Coturnix japonica: one gene and its partners. The protein of the gene in region 1 interacts with the protein of each later gene in a pairwise test. Links are inferred from orthologs where the notes say so. Each region holds a gene or a part of one and is shown in the gene's direction. Other genes may lie near its edges.

Region 1 (3,945 bases):
TCTAAAAGCTGATTTTTTCCTGGGCTTCTCATTTTTTAAAACCTTCATATTTGTCAAAATAAATGAAAATGTGTTATATGCACATAATGTTTTTGTGGTTGCACTGTGTAAACAGCATTGAAGCAAACTGAATTAAATGGATATTTTGTTGCAGGATCAGATTCTGCCTCTGTTAAAGGAACAGAAACAATCAGAGGAGCAGTGCTGTATGGATGTTACTTATTTCTGAGTTTACTTTGACGTATTTATTGTGTATTATTTACAGTGTATAAGGAAAAGAGCATACCAGTTACAGCATCCAAAGGCTCATCTTAAAAATAAACAATTAGAGGCACGATATGGTATGTGTTGGAGCATCTAACTTGTGCTAATGTAAGTAAATGGTGTTTCACTTTTCTTTGCCTAATTAGCACAGTAACTTGTTAAACTATCAGGGAAAAAAATGTGCAGAGGAATCTGATGGGTAGTATAAAATCAGTGAATCAATATAAATCAATATAAATAACTATCAAAGAATCTCTCAGAAGGCATGAATCACTGATGTAAGGCAGAATACACCCAGCAGCTGTTTTACTGTCTACGTAATGTATCTATGATATCCCCATGTGTTGCTATCAGCACATGGGGATAGGCATAGGCATTTAGTGTGTTACCTCCCAAGCCCCTTTCATTGTGAGATTCAGTTCTGGAGTTCCCAATAAATCATAGTAGTTCATATCCTATTGACTTTGTGGCCAAAATGACCACACGGGAATGGGGCTGTTCACGGGCTCTGTTGATGCCGAGGCAGCAGAAACGAGGGTTGTATATAATGGGACGGGATGGGTTTCTGCTGCAGAGCGTCCCACGGGAGGGACATGGATGGGGAGCTGAAGGCCACAGGGCTTTTCACAAGCGGCGACGCAAACGCCTGCTTATGCCTTCGGCAGCTACCGAGCAAACAAACAGCGGGAAGCGGACAACGGGATACCCTCAACACTCGCATAAACCTAGCGGGGGAATAGGCCAAGCTGTTCCCTCCCCCACAGCTGCTTCCTTCTGTCCTGGGACAGGTAGAGGCGGTTCCATTCCTACCTGGGCGGGGAAGGCGCCGCTGGTTCCTCCTCCCCCCGCTTCTTGCTCCCGCCCCATCCTCCTCCCCCTCGGCGTCCCCAGAGGGAGCCCCTGCGCTCCGTGGCCGGTCGGAGAGCGCAGCTGGGCAGAGTAGTCCCTTGGCCGGCCCCATCCGTTCCGCAGCCCCTGCGACAGAAGGAGAGGAGGGAGTAGGAAAGGAGAGGAGGAGGAAGAAGGCAGCAGTCCTTCTGCAGCTGGGTAGGAACGTGTGCGTGCAACCCTCGACGGCTGCCCTCCAGCATGTTGCTCGGAGGCAGAGTGGCAGCCAGGAGCTGAGCGGAGTAGAACGCAGAGCAGAGTAGCGCAAAGTGAGGAGCAGCTCGTCGGGGAGCTCCGTTTGCCCGTCGCGTTCGATGCACACCATGGGCGTTCTCAACCCCCTGTCCGCCGCCAAGCCCCGCGGGGCCGCTCTCCTGGTGCTGCTGCTGCTGGGGCGCGTCGCACTCTGTTCCGCCGTGGAGGAGAAGAAAGGTAACGGGTGGTACGGGTGCTGGGGCTACAGGGTGTGCCCCTTGGTACTGCGGGGAGAGTCGGAGGGAAAGTCTTGGCTTCGTCCCTTAGAAGAAAGGGGGGAAAAAGTAAAAAATAAAAAACTACTGAGAGAAAGATGGAAAAACAGACCTACAGAGCAGTCGCGCAGCTCATGACTTCCTGATTCTAAGCTTATTTTCTTTTGTGGGGGCGGAGGAAATAAAAGGGAATAAACCTTTGAGAGTCTCATCGCTTGTGCTTGTCCCCTCCCGAGGCTTTTATTTTCTGCTCTCTCCTCCACTCCGCCCCCGTGCTCTTTCCGCGGCGCCCCGAGCGCCCTCACTGCCCGGGTTCACCCCATGGTGGCCGCCGGCCCAGTACCGCTCTGCTACCGACACCGGGGAGGTGGCACCGAGCACGGCAGGGACACGCAGGGCAGCCTCAGCCGTCCCGCCGCCTCGGGCCGGGCACCTCAGCTCATTCCGCTTCAAAAAGATGAATGCATGCATATACGTGTGCACACACCTGAGAAGGGTGTGTCGGGGAGGACGGGAAACTTCATGCGGATTCTGGTTCTCCGGTCGTGCTCGCTCTCTCTCTCTTTCTCTCTGCCCGGCCCGATGCCTCCGCTGTCACCCTCGCTGAGAGCGCCCGGCAGCCGTGCGTGGGAACGGCGCGGGACGGCCCGCGAGGCTGTCTGGTTGGCTTCTGGAGCTTTGTTTTTTATACGTTTTTGAAAAACTGGTTTAAGGAGTGAGAGAACGTTTTTGTTGGGAGAGTTCCGTCGCTTTTTCTCCATGTGTGGTGATCATTTCTGTGAATAGGCCCCGAGTGCTGTTCCAGGCAGAGTACAGTTCTCTTTATCTTGGAGATCTGCCAGCAAGGGAAAAAATGCAGATCTGTTGTTGTGTTTTCTTTCTACAGAAAAAGAGGGAAAAAAGAATTAGTAGTGTTTTGAAGAGCTGGCTTGCAGCTGAAAACAGCTGAACCTATGTTTTTGTAACTGAGAACAGTAAAACTGTCCTGAAAGGGAGCAGCAGCTGCCTGTTCTGAGGAACTAGTTACACAACCTCAAAGCATTGAAGAGGCTCCCTTGTTCCAGAAATCAAGTTCATACCTGTTGCTGATGTAACGTAGGCAGCTCTTCTTTCCTGGGTTTCTGATCTTTTTCTTTTCTTGTCTCCCCTCATCCACTGAAAGTGACGGGGAGCAGAGCTGACTCCGTCTGCTGCATTTAAGTCCTTTGAAATGGAACACCCTGATGCACATGCCCAGCAGAATCTGTAAAATGTGAGGGTATATATGTTGTTGCCTTCTTTAAAGTGCTTAATCTGGTGTCTCATAAAATTATGAAGGTGCTGTTTATTTGAGGATTGTTAAATAAAAAACAGCTACATGATAAACCCAATGGGCATCATTGTCAGCATTGTGTTAGTGAGTAACCATTCCTGTGAGGAGGACCGGGGACAGAAGAGGGAAGGCAGAATAACTTCTTCAAGAAGCATGAATCAATTATTTGAGCTTTATCTGTTTTTCTCCGCATTTGAAGATGAGAGAGGAAATAAAGGTGGGTACAGAATAAAGTGGCATTTGGGAATCATAAAATAATGAGTGAAGACCCACTTCCTTGGGACCCCATGGCATCTGAATTTATAACAGTTCTGAAAGCAAATATGCTGCCATAAACATTGCAACACTCATGTTTTATGATAAAATTCTGTTGCTTCTAGAAGTACAAATAGTAAATGCATTTATGCTTCTTAATATTTTAGTTTGTATTATCCCCCCCAAATTACCTTGGCAAATCTTTTTTGTTACAAGAATGTCAGAATCAAACTATAATGGGCAATGTAATAGTTGAATGGAAATTAAAATTCACCTGTATATTTTACCAGAAGTTTAGAACAATCTTTTCAAATTTGGATGAGACGAAACTTTTTTATTTGAATGACTGCAGTCATGAAAATGAAAAACAAACCAAACAAACCCAGTAGCTGTGCTTAATGCAGCACCAAACAGCATTGTTAGAAATTGAACTGTCACAGGGATCAATACCTCCCTCTCTCTCAATCCACCATCTTTAATGTTGATCCAGATTAACAGCAGAGGAAGTAATCTGGATTTACACTGATAGTTGCTGGATGGCCTGTTAGGTGCCTTTGACAGCAGGCATGCCACTTCCTGCAGCATGCATTTGACTGATGTCCATTTTGTTTCTCATTGCTTAGTGACATTGCATTTAGTCAAACCATTTCTTGTTGCTTTTTTGGCTCTATATATCTAGTTTTGATCTGTAGTTGCAGCCATTGTGGAATGGAGTAAAGGACTGTGCACTCTAACCCACTGGGCAGTGTACTGGCT
Region 2 (4,036 bases), on another chromosome or scaffold:
TCTCCCCGCCCGCGTCCGCCGGGAGATGGCGGCAGAGCCCGCGGCTCCGCACGGCAACGCGGCCCCCACGCGCGGGGCCATTTTGGGCGCCGCCGCCATTCCGGGTGGGCCGGGCCGCACGCGCGTCCGCGGCCTGGGCCCGAGCCCGGCGCTGGGGGGAGGATGGGCGGCGGGTCCATCGATCTGCGCCCCGGGGCCGCAGCGTTGTTCCGTCCCGCCACACTCTGCCCCTCGGCCGCTGCCGTGTTTGCCGAGCAAACAAGGGGCCTCCGCTCTCCCTGCCGGCCCTGACCCCGCGACGTGCGGGGGGCTCCCCCGGCCCCGCGATCGCAGCCCCCTTCGGGCCGCACCGCCGCCTCCCCTGGCCTTTAAGAAAAGGTCGTAACCTCAAGCCGGGGCTAAACTTAGCCGCTGCCCCTCGGTGCTCCGGGAATGGCAGCCGTACAAGGAGCGTTGGGTTACGGGAGCTGCGTGACCCCCCGCTCGGACCCTCTCCCCCCGGCATCCTCCGTCCCCACCGCTGGAGCCGGGGCCCACCTCACCCCTGCACGCCCCCTCCTCCCGCCGGGCATCCGGCTTCGAGCACCCGCTCCATCGCAGGGGATGGAGGCTATAAACCCAGCACGGCTCCATCCCACGGCCCCTCTTTGGGCCGCACGAGCCCCAGCCGTAACACGTAAGAACCGCTTCTTGCCCACACCCCGGGCCCGGCTGCCAGGCGCAGACGTGCCGGGCTGGGAGAGGGACGGCGGCGGCTCGAGGCGGCGGGAGGATATGAGGATATCCGCTGTCACGGCGCAAGAGATGCTGCAGTTCCTTATTAGCGCGGCCTGAGAGCGCCGGTGTGACAGCGGGTGCGGGACCCCGGCAGCCCGGGGCTGCGTGACCAACACGTGCGAGGGCTGATTATGGCAGCGGGCAGGCTGCGGGCTCGCAGCACGGCGCTCTCTCGGCCGTGCGTGCTGCCATTAATGCAGCCCGCACCCGCCGCACCGCATCGTGCTGCAGCCGCACCCCGCAGCCTCACCCGAGGACACCGACGCGGGGCTTTGTCTGCACCCCCCATCCGAAGGGCACCCCCACTCCGTACAAGCCCCGCAGTGCGGCCCCAACCCCCCGAGCCCACCCTCGACCCAACGGCCGCCCTTTGTTGCGAGGGGGGAGGGGGAGAGAAGCGGGGGGGGGGCTGCCGCTTCACCCGCACCGTGCGTGCACGTAGCCCCGGCCCGGCCCTCGCGCTGCCATTCGGTGCCGGCCCGGCGGGGCGGGGCGCGGGGTGCTGCCGCCGTGTCTATAAAGGGCGGCGGAGCGGCACTGCGCCACCTTCTCACTGCGCGCCGGGGCCGTTGACTAGGAGCAGGTAACGGGCGGGGGGCACGGGGGCGGAGGAACGGCTCCCCCCACCCCTACCCACCCACCCACCCAGCCGGCCGCCCTCCCGTCTGCTTGAGCCCCTCGTAGGGTCGGGGCCGTCGGACCGCGAGGAGTGCGGCGGGGGGAGGGGGCTGTGCAGGACCGCGTGGTGCCCGGGGCACAAAGGCGGGGGCGGGCGGCGTAAGATGGAGGCGGTGGGGGTGGGGGGAGAGGTGCGGGGGGCACAGCTCGGTGGGGATGGAGGGAGGGAGGGATGGCGGGTGGGGGGGCGGCTCCCGGTGCGTGCGGTGGGGGGGTGTTATGGGGCGGGCGGGCTGCGTGCGGTACCGCACGTCTGAGCGTTGGCGTGTCCCCGCAGGTACACTATAAGGGAGAGATGGTGAAAGTCGGAGTCAACGGGTGAGTGAGTGCGGAGCCGGGACGGGAGGCGCCGGGCGGGGCGGGCGGGGATGTACGTGCCCGTGGGGGGGGGGAGGACGACACGAGACAAGGTCGCCTGAAGGGCGGGGGGCCCCGCGGCGCCGCGGAGAGACCCCCCCATCCTCCAACCCCCAACCGGGAGTAACGGCCCCGTGGGGCGGTGCTGAGTCACTTCCCCGCACGGTCGGGGTGAGTCACCCCGGAAGCGCCGGTGCTGCCCGCGTGCCCCGTCGGGGGCTCTGCCCGCACTAATGGGGCTCCCCGGGGCAGTGGGTACCCGAGGAAAGGTCGCCCGGTGGATCGTGTGTCGGCCGTGCCCCGGGAACGTGACCTTCTCCCACCGCACCGAGGAGTAACCGGATCCCCGGGGCCCTCAGTAAATTTAGCGCCTGACCTTTGTGGTGTGGGTGCCCTGCCCGGGGGTCGCTCTTAATCTTTAACCACGGCTCCTCGGCCTTTGGCCGCTGCTGTTGGATTCCATTCAGGCAGCGACTGACAGATGCTCTGGGGGGAAGTAGCAGATAGGCTCAGCCGTGCCTTACCAAGCATGTTCCTCAGTGCTCCTCCTCACCCACCTCTCTGTTTCTCCCCAGATTTGGCCGTATTGGCCGCCTGGTCACCAGGGCTGCTGTCCTTTCTGGCAAAGTCCAAGTGGTTGCTATCAATGATCCCTTCATCGATCTGAACTACATGGTGAGTTGTCTTGCAGTGCCCCCTCTGGGCGATGCGTGCACCTTCAGCGGGGCTCCCCTTGGAAACCTGGCATAGGTTAAGAGAGAAATGAGATGTAGTGATGCAAAGCTGGGCAGAGCAAAATACAGAGCAGCAGTTAGACAAGATGGCTGGTATTGTAGTGGGAGCTTTGCATCTAGGATGCCTGACCCTTCTCTTTTCTCTCCCTGCTAGGTTTACATGTTCAAATATGATTCTACACACGGACACTTCAAGGGCACTGTCAAGGCTGAGAACGGGAAACTTGTGATCAATGGGAACGCCATCACTATCTTCCAGGAGTGAGTAGCTTTCTTCTCTCGCTGCTCCAGAGAATGAAAGTAAGTGCCCTCCAGAGTAACTCCCATGGTTTTGTCCCCTCTCAGGCGTGACCCCAGCAACATCAAGTGGGGAGATGCTGGTGCTGAGTATGTTGTGGAGTCCACTGGTGTCTTCACCACCATGGAGAAGGCTGGGGTATGTAGGCTGCTGTGGCCCATGGGAAAAGGTGCTCTGAGGATTGTATTCCTTCTCAACTGTTGGGCCGTTCTGGGTAATTTAATCTTTCCTTTTTTGTTTTTCAGGCTCATCTGAAGGGTGGTGCTAAGCGTGTTATTATCTCAGCCCCCTCAGCTGATGCTCCCATGTTCGTGATGGGTGTCAACCATGAGAAATATGATAAGTCCCTGAAAATTGTTAGGTAAGGGAGAAGAATGCTCCCTGGCCTGGAATTTTCTTCGGGTCTTGTTGCACGTATATACATGTGTTGTACTTGGCTGATGTGCCTTCTTTCTCCCCCAGCAATGCTTCATGCACCACCAACTGTCTGGCACCATTGGCCAAGGTCATCCATGACAACTTTGGCATTGTGGAGGGTCTTATGGTAGGTCTGGAGCTTGATGCTCAGTAAGATACCCTGCCCCCAGGTCCTCCATGTGTGGGGGAAAAAAGCATTCACACACAGTGCTTCCATTGGGCTTGGGAGGAAGTGCTGGGGGTGCTTTCTCTGGGGAAAGTGACTGCTTTCTTACTTCTGGGCCTTCTTTCCACAGACCACTGTGCACGCCATCACAGCCACACAGAAGACTGTGGACGGCCCCTCTGGGAAGTTGTGGAGGGATGGCAGAGGTGCTGCCCAGAACATCATCCCAGCATCCACTGGGGCTGCTAAGGCTGTGGGGAAGGTCATCCCTGAGCTCAATGGGTGAGCGTCCTCTTTCTGTGTCTGATGGGGGGCAGGAGCCAGTGTGTGGCTGGCTCAAACACTTTTGTGGTAGAACATGCTTACACTGTTCTTTGCTGACATATCTCTTGCAGGAAGCTTACTGGAATGGCTTTCCGTGTGCCAACCCCCAATGTCTCTGTTGTTGACCTGACCTGCCGTCTGGAGAAACCAGTAAGTGCTGTGGACAAGACTGAAGAATCTTCAGGCCTGCCTCTAAAATTACTTCCTTCAACATCAATCTATTTAATAGAAAAATCTTGGTTTTGCTGAAAATAGCACCTAATGTGCATGGCTAGTGCTATGCAG
Region 3 (4,008 bases), on another chromosome or scaffold:
CGACGGGCAGCGCCTCCCCGGGCCGCTCGCAGCGACTCAGGCCGTGCAGGAGCAGCTGCAGGGCGAGCTCCCGGCACCGCTCCGCCGCGTCCCCCGCCAGGCAGCGCGACAGAGGCCGCACCAGCTGCGCCTCGAAAACCTCCTGCACCGCCTGCGACGAGAGCGGCCGCTCCTGCACCTCGGCCCGGATGGCTTCTAGTGCTCGCAGCCGCGCGGCCCGGCCGCACTCGGGGCCCTGCAGGCAGCTCAGGGGCCGGCTCAAGGCCTGCGCCAGCTCCGCCGCCCCGCACGCCGCCATGCTGCCCCGCCGCTACGGAAGCGCGATGCCGTTGCTAAGGACGCGGCCGCTTTACGACGGCGAGAAAACGCTTTACGGCCGCACCGGGCACGCTTCGCCTCCATCCCTCCCGCTGTTGATGAATCCTTTCCAGAGACCCGGGTTCGAATCCCCCCTGTGGCGCAAGTGGTAGAAGTGCCGCTCTGCTACACAGGAGGCTCGAATCCCGGGGGTTGGACTCGATGATCTCTAAGGTCCCTTCCAACCCGCACGACACTGTGATACTGTGATACTGTGATACTGTGATACTGTGATACTGTGATACTGTGATACTGTGATACTGTGACTTGGGGGGCAGGATGCGATGAATGGACTTGGGGGGGGGCGGAAGAGCATGAATTGACTTGGGGGCCAGAATGAGGACTGTGGACTATGTGTGCCTCCGGTGGCGCAGTGGTTAAGGACGCCACTTTGCAACAGCGGAGGCCTGGGTTCGAATCCCCCCTGTGGCGCAAGTGGTAGAAGTGGCTGGACAATAGCAGGACACGGGGAAATGGTTTTAAGTTAAAAGAGGGAAGATTTAGGTTGGATGTCAGGGGGAAGTTCTTCACTAAGAGAGTGGTTAGGCCCTGGAACCAGACCTGGAACAAGACCTTGAACACTTGGAGGTGTTCAAGACCAGGTTGGACGGGGCCCTGGGCAACCTGATCTAGTAAATGTGTATGTTTGGTGGCCCTGCCAGGCAGGGGGGTTGGAACTACATGATCCTTGAGGTCCCTTCCAACCCGGGTCATTATGTGACTCTGTGAAGTGCCGCTCTGCTACACAGAGGCTCGAATCCCGGGGGTTGGACTCGATGATCTCTAAGGTCCCTTCCAACTCGCACGACACTGTGATACTGTGAACACCGCCGGGTTCGGGGCGCGGTGAAGCACGGAGCTGCCACACAGCGTCCGGCACCGCCGCACTGCGCTCAGCCGCCATTACACGGCGGGGAGAGAGCGGCGCTGTGACGGCCGGCCCGCTGTCCGCCTCCGCGTTATCCCGCTCCGCGCTGCCCGGTTCCGTGCTGCCCCGCCGAGGAGGCCGATCCTGCGGCTGACTGACAGCAGCGGCACTTCCTGCGGCAGGCCCGCAGCCTTTGTATCCGCGTCCGTCTGTGTGTGTGTGTGTGTGTGAGGGCACACAGGAGGCAGCTTCTCGGTCCCAGCGAGGGGAGGAGGAAGCGGTTGCGCTGCTGAAGCCGGCGGAGGAGCAGCTTCATCCGTGAGAGCGGCACAAAGAGCCGCCCCGCCGGATCAGCCGCCCAGGTACGGCCCGGTTGAGCTCCCTGCTGCTCAGCGGCGATGCGGCGCGCTGTGCTGGGACATAGAGGCCTCGCGAAGGTCCGAGCCGGGCTCTGTGCGGGGAGCTCGGCCCTCCTTCGGGTGTCACCGCGGCCCCGAGCGCTGCTTTGGAGCCACAAATCCTCCTGAGACACCAACCCGGGTTTGTGCTGAGCGGGGGGAGGCTGCGATGGGACAGAAATGCGGGGCTTTAAAGCGGTGTTGAATGACTGCCTCTAAAACTCATGGCCTTGTGTGATTCATTGTACCGTTATCTGTAGATGTTGAGGAGTTGAAGTGCTAGTTTTGTAGTTACCAATGTGTTGATCCTATAGAGATGCCGCGGTCTGCGTTTCCATAATAATTCCATATAATGCTCTGAATTGATAGCTCTCAGGCAGTACTTGTCTATCTCTGCTGCTCCAAGTTCCTCTGTTAAAGAATTGTCTCTTCTTTACACCATTTCCATCACCCAGGTCTGTTTACTGTTTACAAGCCTTGAAGATGGCTGCTGCTTCTTCCTGCAGTGTGGAAGAAGATGAGAGCCTGAAGGGATGTGAGCTGTATGTTCAGAAGCACAACATCCAGCAGATCTTAAAGGAGTGCATTGTGAATCTCTGCATAGCCAAACCAGATCGACCCATGAAGTTCCTCAGAGAACACTTTGAGAAATTAGAAAAGGTCAGTGATTTGAACGTGGCTCAACTTAATGATTTTAAGCTGAAAAGGTTGTTAAAACATTTCAGATGTTCTGGTATGATTTTCTTCTTAACTTTTGAATTAACAAGCTGTTGTTAAAAAGCAAAGGCTGTTAGAAACAAGCAAATAAGCAGCCCTTTATTTGCCGATGGCTGCCATGGTTCTGTTACTGTCTGTAACACCAAGATTATGATTATCATCATATTGAACTTGTTACAAGTGACCCAAGAACTTGGAAGTGTACTCTGTGTTGTGGTGCATGACATTCTCAGCTCTCATCCATGGTTAGAGCAAAAGATGCTGTTCCCTGTTCATTCTGGTGTCAGGTGAAGTGCTTTTCACATGCCTTTTAAATTGAACAAAGTCATAGAACCAGCAGGTACTTAAAACCATCAAAGTCTGTTAATTTAATTGCTCTTTCTTGCATTCCATATCCTGGTATCTCCAATGAGAGATGCATCCAGAGAAGCTTCATATACTGTGCCTGTGTTCAGAAGCAGCATAGAGGGGAAACATACTTCAAAACATCCTTAGGCAAATCTTTACTGAAGCATATTGGTGTCTTTTGCAGGTAGTGTGAGTGCATCTGTTTGAGGGGATGGGGTTTCTCAATGAATAGATGCTCATGGGCACACAGAGCTGCAGGTTGTTAACTGTATGCATCCTTTATTAGTGTATTTAATGTAGGAAGACTGTTATTATGTTTGAGGTTTTGGGTTTATTTTTTTCCTAGTTAAGCACATAATATTTGTAGGCTTGAGATAGGAGTTTTATGTGTATTATTTTCCTCCTAGGAACGGAACTTTGTAAGGACAGAGCAAGAACAATTAACTAGTGAATGATGCATAGAGCTGCTATGTTACTGATGATAGGAGCGTTGTACACATCTCTCCTCATTTGTCTGCTTTTCTCTATCTGTGGATATAGGTGAAGTTTGTGTAGCCTGAAAATAAATACAAACTCTCTACTCGGCTCTTGTTAGGCCCCATCTCTCATACTGTATCCAGGTGTGGAGCCCTCAGTACAAAAAAGACATAGAGATTCTGGAAAGGGTCCGGAGGAGGGCCACGAAAATGATCAGGGGGCTGGAGCACCTCCCCTATGAGGACAGGCTGAGGGAGTTGGGTTTGTTCAGCCTGGAGAAGAGAAGGTTGCGGGGTGACCTCATTGCAGCCTTTCAGTACCTGAAGGGAACTTACTCCCAGGAGGGGAGTAAACTCTTCGAAAGGGCTGATAGTAGCAGGACTAGGGGAAATGGTTTTAAGTTAAAAGAGGGAAGATTTAGGTTGGATGTTAGGGGGAAGTTCTTCACTAGGAGAGTGGTTAGGCCCTGGAACAGGCTGCCCAGGGAGGTTGTGGATGCCCCGTCCTTGGAGGTGTTCAAGACCAGGTTGGACAGGGCCCTGGTCAACATGATCTAGTAAAGGTGTATGTTTGGTGGCCCTGCCAGGCAGGGGGGTTGGAACTACATGATCCTTGAGGTCCCTTCCAACCCGGGTCATTCTGTGATTCTGTGATTGTATCCAGGTGGAAATCCACAAAGAAGGCCTGGAATACTGGCAGGGAATGGGAAGTACAGACTTTTTTTCATTGTATAATGCAGTATTTAAGAAAGAAACCCAAATATCTTTTGATTCTGCCTCTGTTAAACTCCTTGGAGCCACGACCTGTTTGAAGGGAATTAAACGTGTTGAATTTCCTTTGTGA
Region 4 (4,241 bases), on another chromosome or scaffold:
AACTGGACGTGCAGTGCAATGGCTGTACTGACTGGCAGGGGTAGTGTTGGGTAATTCTGTTTCTACACATATCCTTCTCAAGACAACCTAATAAATTTGTTTATGGCCTGGCTCGTTCAGATTGCTCCGAGTAAAGGATATTGAAAGATAATATGGTCCTGATATATGAACTTGGACTGGAAATCCACCTTTCCCTGACAGCGAGTTGGTGTTTGCTTTGGCGTTGGCTTCATGTTATCGTGGTGGTTGATCTGCTTCTCAATCTGGATAACCAGCCGTGCTCTTCATATTCTGTCATCAGCATTAGGTTAGCAGATGAACATTTTAATTAATACCAGCACGTTCACAGCACTGCAGCAGCCTTGCATGAATCTTGTTTCTCAAGATGCACGCTGTGTATTGGACGCACGCTTTCAAGCTGTTGTTTTCTCCTTGCAGTACGCAGCTTACACACAGTTCCTGTAACCTCACATGGAGCCTCTTCGCGGCGTTTTTCAGCCATCATTGGCACAGAGTCGTAACTTGAGATGCACTGGATTTGCTTACAGGGAATTCTGCAGGAGTTGGTGCGAGGCGTCGTATTGTTTGAAAGAAGAACCTGCTCCAGATGGCGCCACATGAGCTGTCACAGATGGGCTCTCGTCGCTGGTGTTGTGTCATCTCGCACTGAATCTCTGCCTCTCCAGCTTGCTCTGTTTCTTCTAAAGAGTCTTCTCTGCCAGAAAAGAAAAGTTGAGCAGGAAATAAGTTCTAAGTTCTTTGCTTGGCAGTCACGAGCTGTCTAACTGCGCTTATTGGAAAGGTGTGACCTTTGCTATTTGGTTTCAGTTTCACAAGTCATTCCCTCATTGGTTTCTGTGCACGGTGTGACAGCTGGGTTGGGGATCAGAAGATGCCACAGGTTCCTCTGCCCTTGTTCTGTTGTTTGCACACACCTGTTTTTAAGCTATTGGAACTGGTGAAAATGTAACTCGGATACAGCATTACAAAGCTAAAAAGGAGGTGAAGTGCAGCTGGAGGTGTCAGCTGAGCACTTTCTCCGTGTTGCTGAGCTGCTGGCAGAAGAACTGCTCCACTGAGGTGAGATGGGGACATCATTTTCCCACCTTGCTGTCAAGTAAATCACCCCCGTGGCAGGTAAATGGGTGGCATCTCTGCTCTCACCGCCCCACATGGAGCTGCCTGCATGGATTCCCCACCCACAAGGACCGAGCTGGTGAAAAATGGCCTTGGTTTCATGTAAGGGTTTATCGAGCAGGAAGAGCCTGTCAGTGTGCTGGCCCCAACCTCGGCAGGAACAGTTACCAGCTGCTGACTCATGCAAACCTCTGGCACTAATTAACCACAGCTGCTGCCAGCGGGATGAGGGGTGGGATGCGGGCAGGGCTGCGATTGGTTTGGGGCTGCGGATGGAGGGTGGGATTTGGTGCTGCTGTGCTCCCTGTTACAACATCCAAAGGGGCTCTTCCTTTGAGGTAGGAGCGCAGTGGCCCAGCAGGTCGGGGCTCTTTGTGAGCATTCAGCATGTCTTTCATCCACGTGGACAAGGACTCAGATTTCCCTCTGCAAAATCTCCCCTATGGGGTTTTCTCCACAAGGGAGGAGGTGAGTAAAAGCACAGGTTGTCCTCGGGCTGTTGTAATTGTGTGGAGCCTGTGGAATGGAGGAACTCCAGCAACATGGGATAAGGAAATCTGAGTTGTCTTTTTGCTTCACATAAGGCTTCTGGTAACAGCCTCCTTTAAACTATAGTAAAGAATGGGAAGTGTTAGTAGTTCTGAGGAGCACTTTGGCTGCTGCATCCTATGGTTTTTGTGTGGTTTTGACTATTGTCAAATGAATTGTCTCCTGCAATAGCTGTATTTGTATGTACCGTGTTCTGGCCTTTAGCAGCCTGCTCTCACCAGCTGGTTGGTTGCAAGAGTACTAAAGCAGAGCACTGCATGCACGTGTCACTTCTATCTCTGCTGCTGCCCCATTATGGTTTGTTGGGCACGGCGCTGCAGCAAAGTGTTAAATGTGCCCAAAGGTTCAAGCCAGTGCTGTTCTGTCAGAGTCATAGAATGGCCTGGGTTGAAAAGGACCACAATGATCATCCAGTTTTAGACCCCTGCTATGTGCAGGGTCACCAACAACCAGGCCAGGCTGCCCAGAGCCACATCCAGCCTGGCCTTGAATGCCTTTAGAGATGGGGCATCCACAGCCTCATTGGACAACCTGTTCCAGTGCGTCACATTTTGGCCAAGATCTAATTAGAAGTCAGGTGAGGGTTTATGGAAATCCTTTGGGGTAATAACGTTTTAAAACTGGCACCATGTCCCCATGATTTCCAGCTATGGCAGTTGGTGTCGTTACAAATTAACCCGGCGCTCTGCAGGGATGTTTGCTGAATGAATCCTTATCACAGCGGGAATCGTGCTTAGAAATTAAAGATTAAGGAATATCTTGTTTGGAAATTTGAGGTTAAAAAATAGGTTAAATTGCGTGAGTTTTTCCATTTTGTTAAGTTTGTTTTCCTAATGAGTGTTAGACCCTGTCCTCATGGGTTCATCTCTCTGTGATCGCTGGAGGGTTTGGGGGTACAAACATAAACTCTTCTTCTCTTCCCTCCACTCTCACCGCTTTGCAGCCTCGGCACAGGATTGGGGTAGCGATTGGAGACCAAATCTTGGATCTCAGTGTCATCAAGCATCTGTTTAATGGACCGGCTCTTGCCAAACACCAGCATGTCTTTGACCAGGTATTTATCTCAGGCCATAGTTTGGATTTCTGTGTGCTCTTAGACATGTGAGAGTTCCCCACAGCTCTTGAACACCTCCAGGGATGGTGACTCCATCACTGTCCTGGGCAGCTGTGCCACTGCAGCACTGCTCTTTCTGATAAGAGATTTTTCCTAATATCCAACTGATTTCTGTGACAGGGCACAAATTTGGGGCATCTCATCAGGAGTGTGGGCCAGCACCATTGGCTGTGCTCTGCTTAGAGGCAGCCTATAGCTGTGGGGATGCAGTGGGGGCATCTGGGTGCTCTTGTGAAGCAAAACTCAGTCTGTCATCTATTGCCCATCAGCCCACCCTCAGTGCCTTCATGGGGCTGGGCCCCACTGCCTGGAGGGAAGCCCGTGTCCTGCTGCAGTCACTGCTGTCAGCTGCCGAGCCAACGCTGCGGGACAACACGGGCCTGCGGAAACGGTGAGCCAACATGGGCCTGAGGCAACTGCCCGCCATCTGAACGGGATCCCACTGCTGCTTAGGCCTAATGACACCTTCCCACCCCTTGCTGTGTCTCTGGTTAATCACTTCATTGCCTGCAAATACAATCATAGAACCATTTGAGTTGGAAGGGACCCTTCAAAGCCATCTGGTCCAATTTCCCAGCACTGAACAGGGGCACCTACAGCTGATCAGGTGCTTGGAGCCCATGGGGACACCTGGAGCTCCATGCAAAACAACAACTGCCTCCATGGGGGAAGTGGCTGTGGGGCCTCCAGCCTGTGCCTCCCCCTATCCCAACAGTGCCCTTGTTTTTATTACAACTAGAAAGGAATTGCTGCAAGGCTTTGCAAAGCAAAATAAGGATGGAGCTGCTTCAAGAGATGCTCAGCCCCTTTTGTGCTTGAAAACCACTTCAGGGTGAAAGCCTCAAACTATTCTGAGAGCTGAAGTCTTTGTCTTTTATTTCAGGGCATTTGTACCTCAGGCTTCTGCTACCATGCACCTGCCAGCACACATTGGTAAGCCTTGTGGGTTGCCGGCTACTCAGCACTGCCCTTTGCTCCTGCCTGAAGGGTCTGCTTTGTTTCCAGGTTGCTCAGACTTAGCGTAGCTGTGATGGGGAGTGGGCTTTGTAGGAGCCAGAAGTAGCTCGTTGTATGCAGTGAATGGTAGGTGCTGTCGGCAGTGCAAGATGAAAAGCCGGGGGAAGCTCATTATCAGCCAGAAAACTCCTGGATGTGGTTTAACTCCGGGTTGTCCTGTGCCATGAAATGTCAGATTCACAACACCAAAGGCCTTTGTGGCTGTGATCCTCACACACCTTGCTCTCTAGACCCTTCACCATCTTCGTTTTCCTCTGCATGCCCTGATGGTTTTATTTCCTTCTTATGTTACGGCACCCAAAGCTATGTACAGCTTTAAGTGTTAGGTTGGCTGCAGCGAGGCTTCCAACACAGTATCACCCAGCAGAGGGCAGCAGCAGCCCGCCCACTCCGGCAACGATTCCAAATGCTGCTGAGTGTCTCT
Region 5 (4,245 bases), on another chromosome or scaffold:
CCTTTAGTGCACTGATATACACAGAATCTGATGATCCACTGGACACTCAGAAAATTAGTGACGGATATAATTCTTTGGACAGACTTTCTAGTTGATCACATTGGAAGAAGGATATAAAATGTGAATTTCAGTAAGAACATACAATCATTCCCAATGACACCGCAGGAAAAACTCTTAGTATGTCAAATAGATTTGCTGCCTGTGTAAATGCAGAGCTGCGTTCCCCAGCTTTACTGATGTAAATGCATTTTACGCACCTTTATTTTGTTAACAGTGCAAAGCTGTGGGAAGATGTGGCATTTTCTAAATTCTAACGAGCTTCCAATTACAGAAACACGATCATCAGTGATCGCATGCTTCTGAACAAATCAAAGCACTCTTACGGCCCAGTTAGATTTTATGGCACTGTCAATTAGAAAATAAACAAAATCCCTTAATGAGTAAACAGGGAAAATTTTGATACTGGAAGCACAGAGAAATCATAAATCTGTCAAAGCCATTTCCACAACATCGTTTTTCAGAGCGGAGCAGCTCTTAAAATCTGACAAAATACTGCCCTGCTGCAAGCGACAGTTCTCGTTGCTGCAGCAATCCGTAATGGTTTGGGAAGGGCTTTAAACTAAAGCAGGGGACATTTAGGTTAGACGTTAGGAATAAATTCATCTCTAAGAGGGCGGTGAGGCCCTGGCACTGCTGCCCAGAGAGCTGTGGGTGCTCCATCCCTGGAGGTGCCCAAGGCCAGGCTGGATGGGGCCCTGGGCAGCCTGAGCTGGTGGGGGGCAGCCAGCCCACAGCAGGGTGTTGGAGCTGGGTGTGCTTTGAGGTTCCCTCCAACAGGAGCCATTCTGTGACTGTATTATTTGTGTGTACTGAGAGCAGAACGGCCTAGCAAGCAGCAAGGAGGCTGAGATGCAGCACCTAGACTCATGGCCTGGGTTGCTACCCTGTCCCCAGGCAGCCCCCCTTGCTGTGGGAAAGGATACTGGAATATCCTCTAAGTGATACCGCATTATTGAATCAATCAGGATTTAGGAGGCGCAGGGAAAAACCTGCAGCGTGTTAAGTAGATTTGTACGGCTTCAGGAAAGCTTCACAAAGTTGCTCTGGCGCTGTACAGGAGCCACATGCTTTCTGAGCAGCAGAGGTGCCACGAAACCACCGTGGCCCCGTGCTTGATGCCTGCTTTTTGGAGTTCATTGCCAACACTTTGGGAACACTTCGGCAAGACCAGACACCCGCACCTCAAAGCCAGGAGAAACTATAAAGTGACCCACACCCAGGCTCTGGCAACCGGACGCCCCTTGTAGAGGCCGGCGGTGCCTCTCAAAGCCGGCAGCCCGAAGCGGGGCCCGGGGCCGGGTAGGCGGCGGGCTGAGGGGAGCAGCGAGGCGGAGCAGGGCGGCCCCACAGCGCGGCCCCACAGCGCGGCGGGGCGGGCGGGAAGCGGAGCGACGGCGGTAGGACCCGGAGGATGTGAGAGAGAGCGTGTGGGACGAGCCCGGCTCCGGCTGCGGGGAGCTCGGCCCTGCGGCTCCGGGGGTGCTGCTGAGCGAGAGGCAGCCTCCTCCTCTCGGCCAGAGGCAGGAGCGAGGCGGAGCGGCGGGGAAGGCAGAGCCGGCAGCCCGTGTGAGCCCCATGGGCCGAGCGCCTGCGAGAAGGGGAGGAGGAGCCGGCCCGCCGCCCGCCGCCCGGGGATGGTGAGGAGGCGGCGGCTGCCGTGAGCCCAGTTAGGCCTTCGCTCGGCGCCCGCCCGCCAGGCTCTCCCTTCCTCCGCTCGCTCGCTCCCCCCTTCCCTCCCCTTCCCCTGCCTCTTTCCCCTGCCGCCGCCGCCGCCGCCCTCCCATCACCTCCACCCTGGGCTCCCGGAGCCATGTAAGTGACCCGCTCCCGGGGTGGGAAGGGCCGGGGGAAGGAAGCGCCGGGGCCTGCTCCGCCGCGCATTGTGCGGGGCCGGGAGGGGCGGACAGGCGAGGCGAGGCGGCCGCTCTGCTCCTTCCCCGGGCGGCGGCCGCCGGGCGCCCGCTGACCCGCGTAGGCCGCGGCGGGGGCTTTTGCTGGCCCGGGCTGAGGCACCGAGGGGCCGCCGGGGGTGTGCGTGTATGTACGGGGTAGGGGGGGGCAGGGCTGCGGCCCGGAGCCGGGCGGGAGGGCTCGGGGCGAACAGGAAGCTGTTGGCTTCCCTGGGATGCGGGGAATGGAAGTGCTGCGGGGTGGGGGGCTCCCCCGGCCGCCCTCTGGGCCTGCTGCAACCGCGTCGTCCCCGAGCATCTCCGAGGGAAAAAGGGGCTTTGGGGCAGAGGGAGGCACGGGGCATTTCCCAAAGTGTAGCACAGAAAGTGGCCGATCGTTCCTCCATCTACTCCCCCCGCCCCCATTTTCTCCCTTTATCTTTTGTGCGGCTCCGCGCTGCGTTGAGGATCGGGGAGTGTTTACAGTCGGGGGTGTGAGTCTCCGTGTGTTGGTGGTGCTGGGCAGTGTTGCTGGGCCCCATTGCTTTGAGTTCTTGCGGCGGTGTTGTGCAGAGCTGCGAGGAGCTGCTTACAGCCAACCCCCCTCCGCCCCCCAGGTGGAATTCTGCAATCGCTGAAACGTTCCTGCAGACTTCCAGGACTTTTCCTTTGGGTTCTTTGTAGAGCTCAGAATTCTAACAGTGTGTGCTGTATTTGCTGTCTGTTTTTACTGACACAAAGGTACAGATGCAGGTTGCACCTTATTGGGATTCCCCCTGCCCCTGGGAAAGGATTTAACCATTTTTCTCTCTGCTTTATTTTTCTTCCATCCCACCCATACAAGAAGCTAATCCCTGCTTTACTCTTGTTTGCTGTACTTATGCCACCAGGAGGGATGTACATTTTGAAATACAGTTACAAAGGGGCGTTACTAAGACTTAATTCAGAAGAATATTTGTTTACAGGTAAATAAACGTAACGCAGCCTATGACTAGTAATTACTTTTTTGTAGCAGCTAATTTCCTGATGACAGCCACAGCATTTGTCTGAGTTAATAGATTTAAAGGCACCGTGGAACTACCTTTGATTTTCTTTAAACAGGAGGGTTTTCCTTGTGTACATTATAGAACTGCTTTAGGTTCTGAGCTGCAGCAGTAAATCGAATCTAAGAATTGATCCAGTGTCCACAAGTAACCTGTAGCTCCGGCGTTGCTGGCTTATAGAAACAACCTGTAAGTAATTACAAATAGGATTAAATGGGTTCATGAGTGACTTGGTTTGTTTGGGAGACGGAACAAAACTTCCGTTATAAATACTTTGAAACGGGATTTGATTAAATGCATCTTAAGTCGGTGCAGAAGTTCTGAGCAGCACAGTCATTAAATTATATGAGGGTAAACTGTAAAAGGCCTTCTTCTTGTTTTGGAACATAAAGAAGATTTTGTTTAGCCTATGTCTTTGACGGAGAGTATGAAGAGATCTCTTTTTCTGCCATTGCTTAGTTTTGAAATACGCAGTTCAGTTTGTCCTATCAAACTGCAGTTGTGGTTGAAGCTCAGACAGCTGCATGTCGTAACTCTGGCCCCTCACCTGAACCAAATCAACCTCCTGTCTATTGATTAGTGGAGACGTGAGAGCACAGGCATTCCAAATTGCAGCTTTGTAAACCTAGATTGTGCTGACGGATTGGAGGAAAAGTGGATGTGGCTTTAGAGATCTTTTCTCCACTTACTGCTTTTTCCCGCAGTTCTTAGTGTCAGAGAAGCATTATTAAACCTTGTGATAAGCTGCACGTACAGTCATGAAATACTCATTTAGACATGGTGTTGTTCTGAATGGAACATCACATGAGCTAGTAGCAAAATATTTGTGACCATGCCTAACTCATGGGCCACAATGCATTTTTGTAAAGCAAGCTAAGATGCTGGAACAACCTGGTCCTTCTGTTCTCTCTTGAAAGCTGTCTGCCCAGATTGAGTAACTAGGTCATGGTGTGAAGCCGCTGTGAGTTCACAAGGCCTTGAGTGCTTTGGAAGCGCTGCTTCTCCTGGGTAGGATTTGCATAATGCAGGAGATGTACTTCACTGGTCAGAGCCTGGTGGAGATACTGCTCCGTACGCTCTACTTAAAACGTTTGCTGGAGCCCAACTTTGTTGCTCTTGTGCCGTTTGGATACAGTTGGCTGTGAGCTTAAAGGGAGAGCGGGGATATGATGCAGAAAGAGAGCGCAGGTTGCTGGTGTGATGTGTGGGCCCCACAACACGCACCTCTGCTCCCCTGCTGTTCTTGTGACGGT

What was found. The genes of interacting proteins can lie anywhere in the genome.
Region 2: the proteins of EGFR (region 1) and GAPDH interact in binary tests that used the Homo sapiens proteins (3 or more experiments, as listed by UniProt). The link is inferred for Coturnix japonica from reciprocal best matches to the Homo sapiens genes EGFR and GAPDH.
Region 3: the proteins of EGFR (region 1) and PRKAR1B interact in a protein complementation assay, tested with the Homo sapiens proteins (2 studies listed by BioGRID and IntAct). The link is inferred for Coturnix japonica from reciprocal best matches to the Homo sapiens genes EGFR and PRKAR1B.
Region 4: the proteins of EGFR (region 1) and FAH interact in a protein complementation assay, tested with the Homo sapiens proteins (2 studies listed by BioGRID and IntAct). The link is inferred for Coturnix japonica from reciprocal best matches to the Homo sapiens genes EGFR and FAH.
Region 5: the proteins of EGFR (region 1) and AKT1 interact in a protein complementation assay, tested with the Homo sapiens proteins (3 studies listed by BioGRID and IntAct, with this or other methods). The link is inferred for Coturnix japonica from reciprocal best matches to the Homo sapiens genes EGFR and AKT1.

What each region holds. Positions count from the first base shown.
Region 1 is NC_029517.1:73,823,017-73,826,961, forward strand, and holds the start of EGFR (epidermal growth factor receptor), read left to right. Parts: upstream 1-1,145; 5' UTR 1,146-1,466; coding exon 1,467-1,584; intron 1,585-3,945. UniProt on the Homo sapiens protein: Receptor tyrosine kinase binding ligands of the EGF family and activating several signaling cascades to convert extracellular cues into appropriate cellular responses.
Region 2 is NC_029516.1:69,304,076-69,308,111, forward strand, and holds the start of GAPDH (glyceraldehyde-3-phosphate dehydrogenase), read left to right. Parts: upstream 1-1,236; 5' UTR 1,237-1,360; intron 1,361-1,732; 5' UTR 1,733-1,750; coding exon 1,751-1,773; intron 1,774-2,387; coding exon 2,388-2,487; intron 2,488-2,700; coding exon 2,701-2,807; intron 2,808-2,891; coding exon 2,892-2,982; intron 2,983-3,089; coding exon 3,090-3,205; intron 3,206-3,306; coding exon 3,307-3,388; intron 3,389-3,557; coding exon 3,558-3,709; intron 3,710-3,822; coding exon 3,823-3,901; intron 3,902-4,036. UniProt on the Homo sapiens protein: Has both glyceraldehyde-3-phosphate dehydrogenase and nitrosylase activities, thereby playing a role in glycolysis and nuclear functions, respectively.
Region 3 is NC_029529.1:2,232,260-2,236,267, reverse strand, and holds the start of PRKAR1B (cAMP-dependent protein kinase type I-beta regulatory subunit), read left to right. Parts: upstream 1-1,208; 5' UTR 1,209-1,587; intron 1,588-2,078; 5' UTR 2,079-2,106; coding exon 2,107-2,283; intron 2,284-4,008. Other genes in the region: DNAAF5 (dynein assembly factor 5, axonemal), read right to left, coding at 1-298. UniProt on the Homo sapiens protein: Regulatory subunit of the cAMP-dependent protein kinases involved in cAMP signaling in cells.
Region 4 is NC_029525.1:11,267,333-11,271,573, reverse strand, and holds the start of FAH (fumarylacetoacetase), read left to right. Parts: upstream 1-1,441; 5' UTR 1,442-1,524; coding exon 1,525-1,605; intron 1,606-2,629; coding exon 2,630-2,740; intron 2,741-3,069; coding exon 3,070-3,191; intron 3,192-3,683; coding exon 3,684-3,733; intron 3,734-4,241.
Region 5 is NC_029520.1:46,986,318-46,990,562, reverse strand, and holds the start of AKT1 (RAC-alpha serine/threonine-protein kinase), read left to right. Parts: upstream 1-1,445; 5' UTR 1,446-1,872; intron 1,873-4,245. UniProt on the Homo sapiens protein: AKT1 is one of 3 closely related serine/threonine-protein kinases (AKT1, AKT2 and AKT3) called the AKT kinase, and which regulate many processes including metabolism, proliferation, cell survival, growth and angiogenesis.